3 linked regions of the Nothobranchius furzeri genome follow. The main gene of each other region encodes a partner of the protein of the gene in region 3 in a complex. Links are inferred from orthologs where the notes say so. Each region holds a gene or a part of one and is shown on either strand. Other genes may lie near its edges.

Region 1 (3,754 bases), on a different chromosome or scaffold from region 3:
TTTTAAAAGAAGAATGAAAAATATTTCATAATATTGAACTTAGATTTTACATAACATTCTGTTATTTCATCATTTCATTGTCAGATTACATGATTGTCTAGTATTTCTTCATGTAGACATTTATTTCATAATGTCTTATTTATTTATTGAATTTTGAATACTTTTGAGTTCCATAAAACAAAGCTATTTGCAGAGATAAGTCTGGGTTGGGGTGTTTGAAAAAATTAATTTGAGAGCAAAACAATAAAAAAGATTCTGACCTAGCCTAGAATCTAGACCGTCAATTGCTGAAGCAAAAATAATCTTGCATTATACTATATATATGTATTTTTAAGAGTCCACAATAAACTTATAGGGATGGCATTGGGATTATAGATATTTTAAGAACTCATCAAAACATTAATTACAGTTGAAAAAATACTGGATTGAGCTGAGAATGTATTAATTTAAATGGCATACATCTGTAAACATGAAAAGAAAAAAATTGATGTTTGGCTGTATTGTTGAGCTAACTTAAGAAAGCTCTAGAAAGGAAACAACCCCCAGGAGTCTGCATCCAAGTGTGAAATCCTCCTCATCACTGTTGTCTGACCTATGCATGCTCCAGGGGATGAATCAAAGTAAAGGCTGGGTGCAATCTGATGGTTTTCTAGGCTATATATTTTTGTACAAACTTTCATGAAAACAAATTTGAATTTATTTAAAAAGTCCAACCCTAATTATCCTGTTTTTGTATATTTTTCTGGAATATGTTTTTACCTTGCCTAATAAAATCACAAATTCTGCAAAGTAAACAAAAACTGAGGGAAGTGAAATTGATAAAGAAGAAATAAAAGCCCTGAATTAACAATTAAAGCGGGCTTATAAGATTCCACCAGTAAAACTGTGATGAATCTTATGATCACAGAAGTGGAATGATTTAGCTATTATTGAGTTGTTTGTTAATCTGAACCTGGCTGAGTCAGTAGTACTGCATTGATCTTTATTTGGCGGAAAGAGAGCAGTAACAAAACATCAATTTCTGTCGCTTTTACTCCGTACCAGTAGGGGGCGTTAGCTGGTCTCACAAACTACGTAACAGAGCAGAAGTAGGAGAGTGTGCTACCTAGCATCACAGACATGCATGGTCTGTTATAGTTATATTGTTGTCCATTTTTGTAGCTTGTTGAGCCAGTTGGTTTTTAAACGACTGTTAACTTTGGGGAGGAAACCCTTTCTTAAATTTTCTTCACTATTCTAAGTGTGCACATAGAAGTAAAGCCCTGTGGACTCTGTCGCGAGCGGGAAAAGTAAGAAGAAACAAGCATGGCAGTGGACATGAGATTACCGACTGTTAAAAAAACAATGACTTTGTCGGCTCCCGCTGTATACCGGAAAGATTTGGTAGTTCCCGGCGATGTTATCACCTCAGACACAGGTTTCATGAGGTGGGTACTGGTTCTACTGTGAAGCCTGGGAGTAAAGGCCTGGTAACCATTACTTTACCTCGTTTTCTCACAGGGGTCATGGAACATATGTCGACGATGATAAACTAACGGCTTCAGTTGCAGGAAAGGTGCAAAGAGTTGACAAACTAATCTGCGTCAGACCTCTAAAGACCAGGTACGCCATTAATTTAAGAGCCATGAAACATCATTTACCTCTGCACTGCTTTCACTTGCTATGTGTCCTGCTTTTATCTAAATGCAGTCCTATAACTCTGATGTGAATTACAGATTTAACGGTGAGGTTGGAGATGTGGTTGTTGGCAGGATCACGGAGGTGAACAAATGTTTTTGTGATCTAAAAACAGTAAAAAGATGTAGTACTTTCATCAAGAGTTTTCAGAATGGGGATGTTTTCAAATTCAGGTTCAACAGAAGCGGTGGAAGGTGGATACCAACTCCAGACTAGATTCGGTCCTCTTATTGTCATCTGTCAATCTGCCTGGAGGAGAACTGGTGAGATAGTAGAACGTAGCTTCATATGTTTTGGTTGAGATTTTTGTTTTTACTTTTGCTAAACTGATTGATTTTGCCTTTTAGAGACGAAGATCTGCAGAAGACGAGCTCACCATGAGAAAATACATCCAGGAAGGCGATCTAATCAGTGTAAGACACATTTGATTCAAAATGACCAACTTTTACTACCAGTTTTTTTTTATTCCTGACTGGGTTTGAACTTTTGTTTGTTTTTTAGGCAGAAGTGCAGTCTGTTTTTTCAGATGGAGCACTCTCACTTCACACTCGTAGTTTAAAATATGGAAAAGTAAGTTATAGCACACAGTGACACTGAGTAATCCCACTAATTTTTACACTAACACGTTCCTAATTATAAAAAGCTTCTTTTGTGGGAAAATAATCTGTAGTAATAATAATAATAATAATAATAATTTTAATCTCAATCTTATTTCAATTCTTTTTGACTGTCAGTTGGGTCAAGGAGTGCTGGTCCAGATTTCTCCTTCTCTGATCAAGAGGCAGAAAACACATTTCCACAATCTTCCATGTGGTGCATCTATAATCCTTGGTAATAATGGCTTTGTGTGGTTGTATCCCACGCTGGGACAACAGGATGAGGAAGCTGGGGGCTTCTACACCAGTTTGGAGGTACATTCAGAACCAGTCAAGAGAAGTTGTTCATAAACTTTATTGACTTGATTTTGATAGATGTGTGTGAGCGTTAAAGTGTGAGTAAAGCAGTTCAACATAATAAGTGATTTGTTTGAGAAACCTTGCTGGGTCTATTAAAGGTCAGTTTTGTGAGACATGATCTAGTATTTTAAGACATCATAAATGATAAACTACATGAATTTACCTAAAGGCACAAAGTATTTTTATGTCAAGAGAAGGAAAAGCTTCCTAAGGAATGAAAATTTGACCCTCTGACCTGACTTCTCACCTCTGTTTGTGAAGAAATACTTATTAAACATAATCTATTTAACACATCCAGACATGTAATGCTCTAAGAATTCCTCCTGGAGGAACGGGGCAGCCTTAGAGAGAAAAGCAACTTGAGACTGTTAAAGTATTGGGTATTGACCCTTTGCACGTGACCTCACGCCACTCATGTGACCGCCCCCTTCGCCATGACGGACGGCAAAAATACCATTTACACCTGTAGAATCCCCAGTGAAGCTGGTCAAAACAAGCCAGTTTGTAGCCTTTTATCGCTTTTATTTAGTTGATTTGACAGTAAAATGGTTTTAGCCTGCTGCATGGTCGGCTGCACTAAGAGACAAGGACATAAACTCAACTCGTTTTTTCTTTTTAATAAATTTGATGGGAGACTGAGGACGGAGACAAACTGCAGTGATCAATTAAGCGAAGTAGCCCTCAGATTTGCAGCGAACATGTTTTTACCGGGTAAGATTAATGTTCATTTATTTCACGAGGAAGACAGGGACAGGGATAAAGGTGATGTGTTCATACAAGTTATTGATAATCCTGATGGATGGGTATTTCACCCCGGATGACGCGCGCCGTCCACTGTTGTATAAAGCGAGACAATTATTAACAATATTAAAGCTCCGATGTATGATTACATGTGTTAAAATTACGTTATTTATTTATTTATATGAGCTTCAGCGTTCAGAGATCTCATTCCGATGTGAGAGCAGCAGCTGAACCCGGTAACACCACCAGCAACAGGAGCTGGTAGAGATCCAGACTTTTTAAAAATCTGCTTTGGTGTGAAGTGAAACGCTGTTTACAACATAAAGTTATAAATCCAGAGGGGTGGATTTAGGCAAAGTCAGCAACATGTTTACATCGGT
Region 2 (3,754 bases), on a different chromosome or scaffold from region 3:
CAAGACACTTAACCCACCTTGCCTGCTGGTGGTGGTGGTCAGAGGGAATGGTGGTGCCAGTGTATGGAAGGCCTCACCTTTTTCAGCGCACCATTGGGAAGCTGTAGCTACACTGTAGCTCATTACCACCAGCAAGTGAATGCGTGTGTGCATGGGTGATGCCTTGGAGGGGTTGTAGAACCCTAGAAGGCACTATATCATTTTTGGTCCACTACAAAGCTACTGTATACAACAGCTATTAACTCTAGTCCAAATACCACAATCACCTAAATGGAATTAAACATTGTCCATCACATTAAGAATTTCATTTATATAAATTAGTACAAATGGATAGAGACCAAGCAGTGTTTAAGAAAATATGTAGAAAGAGTTGTATCATCACGGGTGTGAGCTTCACTGCTCATCTCAACATTAAAGAATTAAGCTTAAAAACACAGAAAAGCTTCAGAGTGCAAGAAAAACTGCCTAAAATTATGAATTCAGTCACATTCTGTCCAAGTCGTAATTCATTAGCTGGATTTTCTTATTTCACCTAATTTAGGCAGAGTAGTCGAGTTACAGATGAAATGAGGCTAACTGCATTTATTTTGTTTATTTTATCAAATGTGACACAATTTTGCTCCCTGGAATCAGTTTTAAACATTGAAACTTAAAGAGCAAGTCACCCCCTACCAGAGTTGTACTCCACTCCCACTTCATGTGTGAAAAATGCAACAAATGCTGTTGCCTGGCAGACCGAGAGGGCGGAGCCACTAACACACACACACACAGCATTGTGACATCATATGGTACCAACTAACGTTCTAGGGTACCTCTTAAGCCTGGGTCATGCTTCTCCGTCAGCTCCGCAAGGGACAGACACGCATGGATTGATGGAAGCGTTTTGCTCTCATACTTCTCCGTCCCCTGGAGTGTTGCAAAGCAATTCCCCGGCAGGACAACAGAGGGCGTAGCGCTGTTCTGTGGTATCCTGTCATTTATCGGTCCAAGATAGTGCGTTTATATTATGTTTTTTCATTGTCTTCTTCATGCGCTCGCCACCTTAAACCCAGGTTTCCTGTCATTTCTGTCCACAAATAAAATGCTTGCTGCGCATCTTTTCACTCCTCCAGTCACGGGGAATTAAACGTTCATATTTTAGAGGTTTTTCGCGAGGTATTCTTCAAGCTTCTCCGTGTCTGCCGCTTGTTATCCTCGGCTCTCTTTATGTTTTTGCGGGCGCAATGGCGGCGCTGTAGACAACAGCGGCGTCCTGACCAATCACAAGCTTGCGTTGTCCGTCTCGACTGACGGATGTTTAGAAAAGAGAGCTCGACTCCGTCCGTCCTTGCGGAGCTCTCCGGCAGGCCCGCAAGGACGTTGCGTGTCTCCACACTGACGCAGACGGAGAAGCATGAATCAGGCTTTAGCCAATACCGATGGCAGATTTAAACTCAAATGCAGCGCAGAGTTTTTACCTGACCATGGCACAACACTGACAGTTTTAGGCAGAAAATTAAAATTTTAACTAAAATGCACTTAAGTGCAAAACTATTGACAACACGGGTCTGCAGCACGATTAGATACACGTTTATATAGTTTATCAGACAAAATAAAGTTGATTTGGGGTGACTTGCTCTTTAAGTATATGTATTACATTATGATCCTCACCTTCTCGCCTTCGGTTGTCTTGAGCACAAAGCCTGCGAGTGAGGAGTAAATGTAGCCATGCCGCAGATATACTCCTGCGCCTGGATTACAGTCTCCCTCACTGCAAAGCTTGTCACCTGAGTGCAAACAGACAACAAGGGTCAGAAAACGCTACAGTAAAATAACAAACGAACAGTGTTAACATCACAGACATGAACACACCTGAAGAGCACAACCACTGTTTGTGACTTTAGTCAAACCCTCTCATTTTTAATGTGAGTTTGTGATTTAGTTGCCTTTCATTTCGTTTTATCAACATGGCAAACTGCTAATCCTGCATAGTCTAGTGAGTGATCGTTTTGTTTTGATGTAGCATAAACACAATTTAGTACTAAAGCTGGTTAGCGGATTTCTTTTGGGTGTGTGAACGAATGATAAATATGTGCTAATTCCACGCGTGTAGCAGTTGGGGCAACTTTAAAGCCCTCTGACTGAAGTTTAAATGCATACTTTAGTGACACATCGACGTCTACACGAGCTGGAATTGGTACGTGACCAAAACACGGTTCTAAATCTACGCAGTGCCTTGTATGGAACATTAAATCAGCGGACTCACCTGGAACACACAACTTCATGGGCGACATGTTTTCGACAAGAGTAGCTTGCGAGCTCATTGGTTGGGACGTCGTCTGGAGTCGATTCTGATTGGTCCGGCTGTGGAGACCGGAAAAGGGCGAAGGAAGGCTCCAGTGCTCATGTGCGAGAAAACGAAGCGCTCCGATTTGTACTCACACTCTCCGCGGGGTGTCGCCAACCTTTATGTTTTTGGTTTGTAAGGGAAAACTTGTTTTTACTTTATTAAAGATGAAGCACATATAAAGAACATTCATTTAAGTGTGTGAACAAACAAACATGGCTGAAGTATCAAATAAAGACCACAAACATCAAGAGAATCACATAAAGGGTAAAAAAACTAAAGGTTTATCAGTTATTTATCTTGCTGACAAGATAATATTTATTGAAAAGGAATATAGTTTCTGAGCTTTTGTTCTTTCATAACTGTTAACGATTTAACATAAATATGAAATTATTTTTAAAAGCTAAGAAAGTCTTTGCTTTTGCAGATGACGTTGTCCTGTTGTTGGCTTCATCAGAACGTAATCTCCAGCTCTCACTGGAGCGGTTCACAGCACAGTGTGAAGGAGTCGGGATGAGAATCAGCTCCTCTAAATCCGACACCATGGTCTTGAGTCGGAAAATGGTAGAAGAACTTGTCCAGGTCAGGGATGAGGTTCTGCCCCAAGTGGAGGAGTTAATGTATCTCGGGGTCTTGTTCACACGTGAGGAGAAGATGGGGCACAAGATCGACAGGCGGATTGGTGCTGCGTCTGCAGTAACGTGGGTGTTGTACCGATCTGTTGATTTCCTGGTTGATCTACGTTCCAACTCACACCTATGGTCACGACCTTTGGGTAGAGACTGAAAGAATGAGATTGCGGATGCAAGCAGCCGAAATTTTTCTCTGCAGGGTGGCTGGGCTCTCCCTTAAAGATAGGCTTGGTCATCCAGGAGGGGTTTGGAGTAGACACGCTGCTCCTCCACATCAAGAGGAGCCAGTTGAGGTGGCTCGGGCATCTAGTTAGGACGCCCCCCTGGTGAGGTTTTCTGGGCACGTCCAACCAGAAGAAGACCTAAAGGAAGACCCACTGGAGGGACTGTGTCTCTCAGCTGACCAGGGAACACCTTTGTATTCCCCCGGAGGAGCTGACCCAAGCGGCTGGGGAGAGGGAAGTCTGGGCCTCCCTGCTTAGGCTGCTGCCCCCACGACCCGACCCTCGATAAGCAGATGAAAATGGATGGGTGGAATCAAAGAAATAAGGGAAACTTTTAAAATTTTGCTCCTGTGAATAAAGTTTGGCAATATAAATTTCTTTGGGAACCAAGAGCGCCCAGAAACAACCCTCACACGCATAAGGACATTTAAAAGGTGTTGAACACTCATTGAATCAGTACATCTGCAGTAGTCTCTAGTAGGACTGAATGCCTTGTAAATTGTATTCAGGGAAAAAAAAACAGAAGTGCTTTTATCAGCACTGCAAATTTTTTGTTGTTTGATGTAAATTTC
Region 3 (3,754 bases):
CCCTGGAGAGGTTCACAGCTGATTAGATCTAGAAAGCTGCAACTGGTGTTAAGCACTGTTTTGTTTCATCCGACATCACGAGTTGCCAGTTCCTGCAGGGGAGGAGTGTGTATTGTGACAGTGTTTTTTTTTCTCAAAACCCAGCTTACTAACAGATTTGTTATAACAGCTTTGATAGAATAACAGAAGGTGAGTAATGCAAGAGAACTAAGTTATTTTCTACAGGGCTGCCAACTTGTGATGGTTTCCATGCACGAGGAGGTGTGTGAAAGGGGTCAGACACGTGTCTCACGCTCAATGGGAAGCTAAGTCACACCCATCTATTTCCGACCATGGGTCCCCAACAGGGCTGGACTGGGACAAAAAATCAGCCAGTTCGTTTTGAGCCGAGACCGGCCCACCAGCTAGTGAAGTTAAAAAGCAATGACGCCTATTTTTTACACCACCTCTCTAACCCTGGGCCTCGATATTCCATATCCATCATGTTTTACTTGTTTCCCTGCTCCAGCACAAAAACTGAGCTTATTTTGCTGCTTAACCCTTTGGTGCATAACGGTCACTACAGTGGACAGTTACTCAAAATTGTTATTTATTTATTTTTGCTATTAAGCACAGCTGTTGAAGACTTTATTGCATATGAGCCCTTCCATTTGGACTTCAGTAAGTCAAGCCACCATATTTCATGTTCAGAATGCACATTGTCCACTGAGATGGACATGTAATAAAGTATTTGTAAATTAACAAAATGGTACAAAAAATATTTGTTGAAATTTGTTTCATTCACACCTAAAGATGAATGAAAAAAATAGTTTAAAAAATCATGGTTGAAGATTTCATAATTCATGCATCAGAGGGTTAATGCAACAAAACATCAACAGACCAAGACAATCTTCAGATATCTAACTGCTCGTTTGAGGTTGAGTAAAGAAAACAGTAAAGCAGAAAATAATCAGAAAACCGAGTTGCCATGCATGCACTGCTCACACACACACACACACACACACACACACACACACACACACACACACACACACACACACACACACACACACACACACACACACACGCACGCACGCACGCACGCACACACACACACACACACACCAACATCAAAACACATGACTTGTTTAACAGTTTAATTTTGTATTTTAAAAGAATGATCCAAACCATTCTAACTAAAAAGTTCAGTTTGAAGACATAAGAGAATCCACAATTTTGCTCTGGATTGTTCGGTTAGGAAAGAGGAGTTTGTAAGGAATATTTATTCACTGTCAATTGTTTAAACACTACAATATTGTTTGTTTAGCAAATTAATATATCGAGTTTTATTTAATCTTTATTAATTGTGACCGGTTATCAATTTGAAAGTTTTATTGACCTTACAACACCAACTCATTTTTGAAAAAGACGAATTTGTTGGCCAGTTTTTCGTTCATTTCCGAACTCCAGTCCAGTTGGTGGCGGTAATGCACACTTGTCGTTGGTAATCACAGTTTCGTCGCGGCCACCGTAGTTCACGTGGGTAATCAAAACATCATGGCGGCTGGTTTCAAGTAAGTCATTTTTAACATGTATTTTTCTTTATATTCAGACTTTGATTTTCATCAAATATATATCATCGATATATTTAATGTTCAGTGTTATATCTAAATTTAGTTTGCTTGTCAAAAAATACAGAAACAACATTTCTGTGACGTCAGTTGGGCTAGTGACGGGATAGTACACTTTATTTGTTAGATTTATCGGTCTGCTGTTTATTGCAGGATCGCACGTGTTTGTTACTAATTTGTCTTATTTAATTTCTTTAAACTTTCAGGACGGCGGAGCCTCTGGAGTATCACAGGAGCTTTTTGGTTCGTCAAATACATACAAACTATACCCAGTAGAAACCCATAAATGTTATTATTATTGTTATTAGTGTCATTGTAATTGCAAATGCTTCATTTGCAGAAAGAAAATTGTAGACCTGATGGGCGGGAGTTGTCTGAATTTAGAAGTACAACCTTAAACATTGGTAAGAAAATAAATTAAATGTTTCCTCCCTGTAATAAAACATAATTTTAGATATGATGTAAATAAAATAATATGTACTTCTAATACAAAATGAGTCGGCTCATATTTTTTCAACTCCAACATTTTCCAGTGCCTAAAGGGCTGATCACTGCCAGCTGTAACAGTTTTTACTTATTTTCTGTTCAGGGTCTATTTCCACTGCAGACGGCTCCGCTCTGGTAAAGCTGGGAAACACCACGATCATCTGTGGCATCAAAGCGGTACTGGTGCACAATGACTCAAACCGCTACTGCTAAGATTTCTTTAGGTGTTAAAGTCATGTGTTCATATGCAGGAGCTGACTAACCCTACTGTGGATGCACCTGGTAAAGGTTACATAGGTAAGTTCTGAACACATTTTACAGCCTCCTTGTTTCCATCAGGTTTTCATTGCTTAATTCTTTATCTCGTATTTTCTGTTTGATTCTGTATTTTATTATGACATCATCATCTGTCTATATATGTTTTAAAAAAGTGCCCAATGTAGACCTGCCACCCCTGTGTTCGTCCCGCTTCCGACCAGGCCCACCAGGGGAACAGGCCCAGGCTGCCAGCCAGTTCATCGCTGATATCATTGAGAGGTGTGTTAAGCCTTCAAACACCTTTAGTTTCCAGCTGTAGTGTTTCTGCCACTGCTTTGACTTAACCTTCATGTGTCGTGCAGCTCTGAGGTGATCAAGAAAGAAGACTTGTGCATTGGCCGAGGAAAGGTGATTTTAGACTCATGTGTGGACTTTATTTGTTGTAATATATTCAATCATAATTCTGCTAAATCTTGTTGCAGCTCTGCTGGGTCCTCTACTGTGACATCATGTGTCTCGACTATGACGGGAACATCCTAGATGCTTGTGTTGTCGCCCTTCTGGCTGCCCTGAAAACCAGTAAGTAGGGTTGAGACTTTACTGAAACGGTGCATGTAATAAATAAAATAAATCTATCTTTTAGTAATCTTTCCCTGCAGCACAACTCCCAGAAGTCACCATCAACAAAGAGACGTCCGCCCCGGAGGTGAATTTTGAAAAGAAACACAAACTTAACATTCACCGACATCCAGTCAGCGTCTCCTTTTGCATCTTTGATGAGTACGTTTGTTTGATTTCAATTCAATTTTTATTTTAGGTACAAGTGCCATTTTGTTCTTCTTTAAGCCTTTTTGGTTTTCCTGTGCAGCTCCATACTGATCGTAGACCCCACCGCCGAGGAGGAGAGCCTGTCGACGGCACGCCTCACTGTGGTGATGGATGAGGAAGATCAGCTGTGCTCCTTACATAAACCAGGTCAGAGATGGCACATCTGTGATCTTTAGATTTGTGGTGCTTCTGCCATGAAATAAAGCTTCAGATTATTTTGAGTATTTTGAGAAAACGGGGATAAAAGGCTCTGCAAACTTTGCCTCCAGGTGGAACGCCACTGTCGGGAGAGAAGCTGCAGGAGTGCATCAAAAGAGCAACGGCACGAAAGGGAGAGATCCACAAACTTATTGAGAAAGTCATAAAAAGCATGAAGACAGCTCAATAAATACACTCAGACAACATTTTTTATCTAAAAGTTGTATTTTCCACTGTCAATATATATTCTTTTTTAATAACAATAAAACTGCTGACAAAGACTTAAAAAAATTATCTTTTCAGTGTCCAGAAATGTCTCACGCACACTTAGCTGATGTCTTAATTCATGTAAGAATATGCTCATGGCTCCTTGT

The links.
Region 1: exosc8 (region 3) and exosc2 share a complex: the UniProt entries of both Homo sapiens proteins name them as parts of the RNA exosome core complex. The link is inferred for Nothobranchius furzeri from reciprocal best matches to the Homo sapiens genes EXOSC8 and EXOSC2.
Region 2: exosc8 (region 3) and exosc1 share a complex: the UniProt entries of both Homo sapiens proteins name them as parts of the RNA exosome core complex. The link is inferred for Nothobranchius furzeri from reciprocal best matches to the Homo sapiens genes EXOSC8 and EXOSC1.

The regions. Positions count from the first base shown.
Region 1 is NC_091746.1:53,646,848-53,650,601, forward strand, and holds the start of exosc2 (exosome complex component RRP4), read left to right. Parts: upstream 1-1,084; 5' UTR 1,085-1,305; coding exon 1,306-1,427; intron 1,428-1,500; coding exon 1,501-1,602; intron 1,603-1,715; coding exon 1,716-1,761; intron 1,762-1,850; coding exon 1,851-1,940; intron 1,941-2,024; coding exon 2,025-2,090; intron 2,091-2,178; coding exon 2,179-2,247; intron 2,248-2,411; coding exon 2,412-2,588; intron 2,589-3,754. UniProt on the Homo sapiens protein: Non-catalytic component of the RNA exosome complex which has 3'->5' exoribonuclease activity and participates in a multitude of cellular RNA processing and degradation events.
Region 2 is NC_091746.1:82,296,305-82,300,058, forward strand, and holds the start of exosc1 (exosome complex component CSL4), read right to left. Parts: upstream 2,351-3,754; 5' UTR 2,304-2,350; coding exon 2,246-2,303; intron 1,767-2,245; coding exon 1,651-1,766; intron 1-1,650. UniProt on the Homo sapiens protein: Non-catalytic component of the RNA exosome complex which has 3'->5' exoribonuclease activity and participates in a multitude of cellular RNA processing and degradation events.
Region 3 is NC_091750.1:62,637,084-62,640,837, forward strand, and holds exosc8 (exosome complex component RRP43), read left to right. Parts: upstream 1-1,471; 5' UTR 1,472-1,536; coding exon 1,537-1,553; intron 1,554-1,816; coding exon 1,817-1,853; intron 1,854-1,950; coding exon 1,951-2,014; intron 2,015-2,199; coding exon 2,200-2,273; intron 2,274-2,347; coding exon 2,348-2,393; intron 2,394-2,527; coding exon 2,528-2,633; intron 2,634-2,716; coding exon 2,717-2,762; intron 2,763-2,836; coding exon 2,837-2,933; intron 2,934-3,013; coding exon 3,014-3,134; intron 3,135-3,222; coding exon 3,223-3,329; intron 3,330-3,451; coding exon 3,452-3,570; 3' UTR 3,571-3,671; downstream 3,672-3,754. UniProt on the Homo sapiens protein: Non-catalytic component of the RNA exosome complex which has 3'->5' exoribonuclease activity and participates in a multitude of cellular RNA processing and degradation events.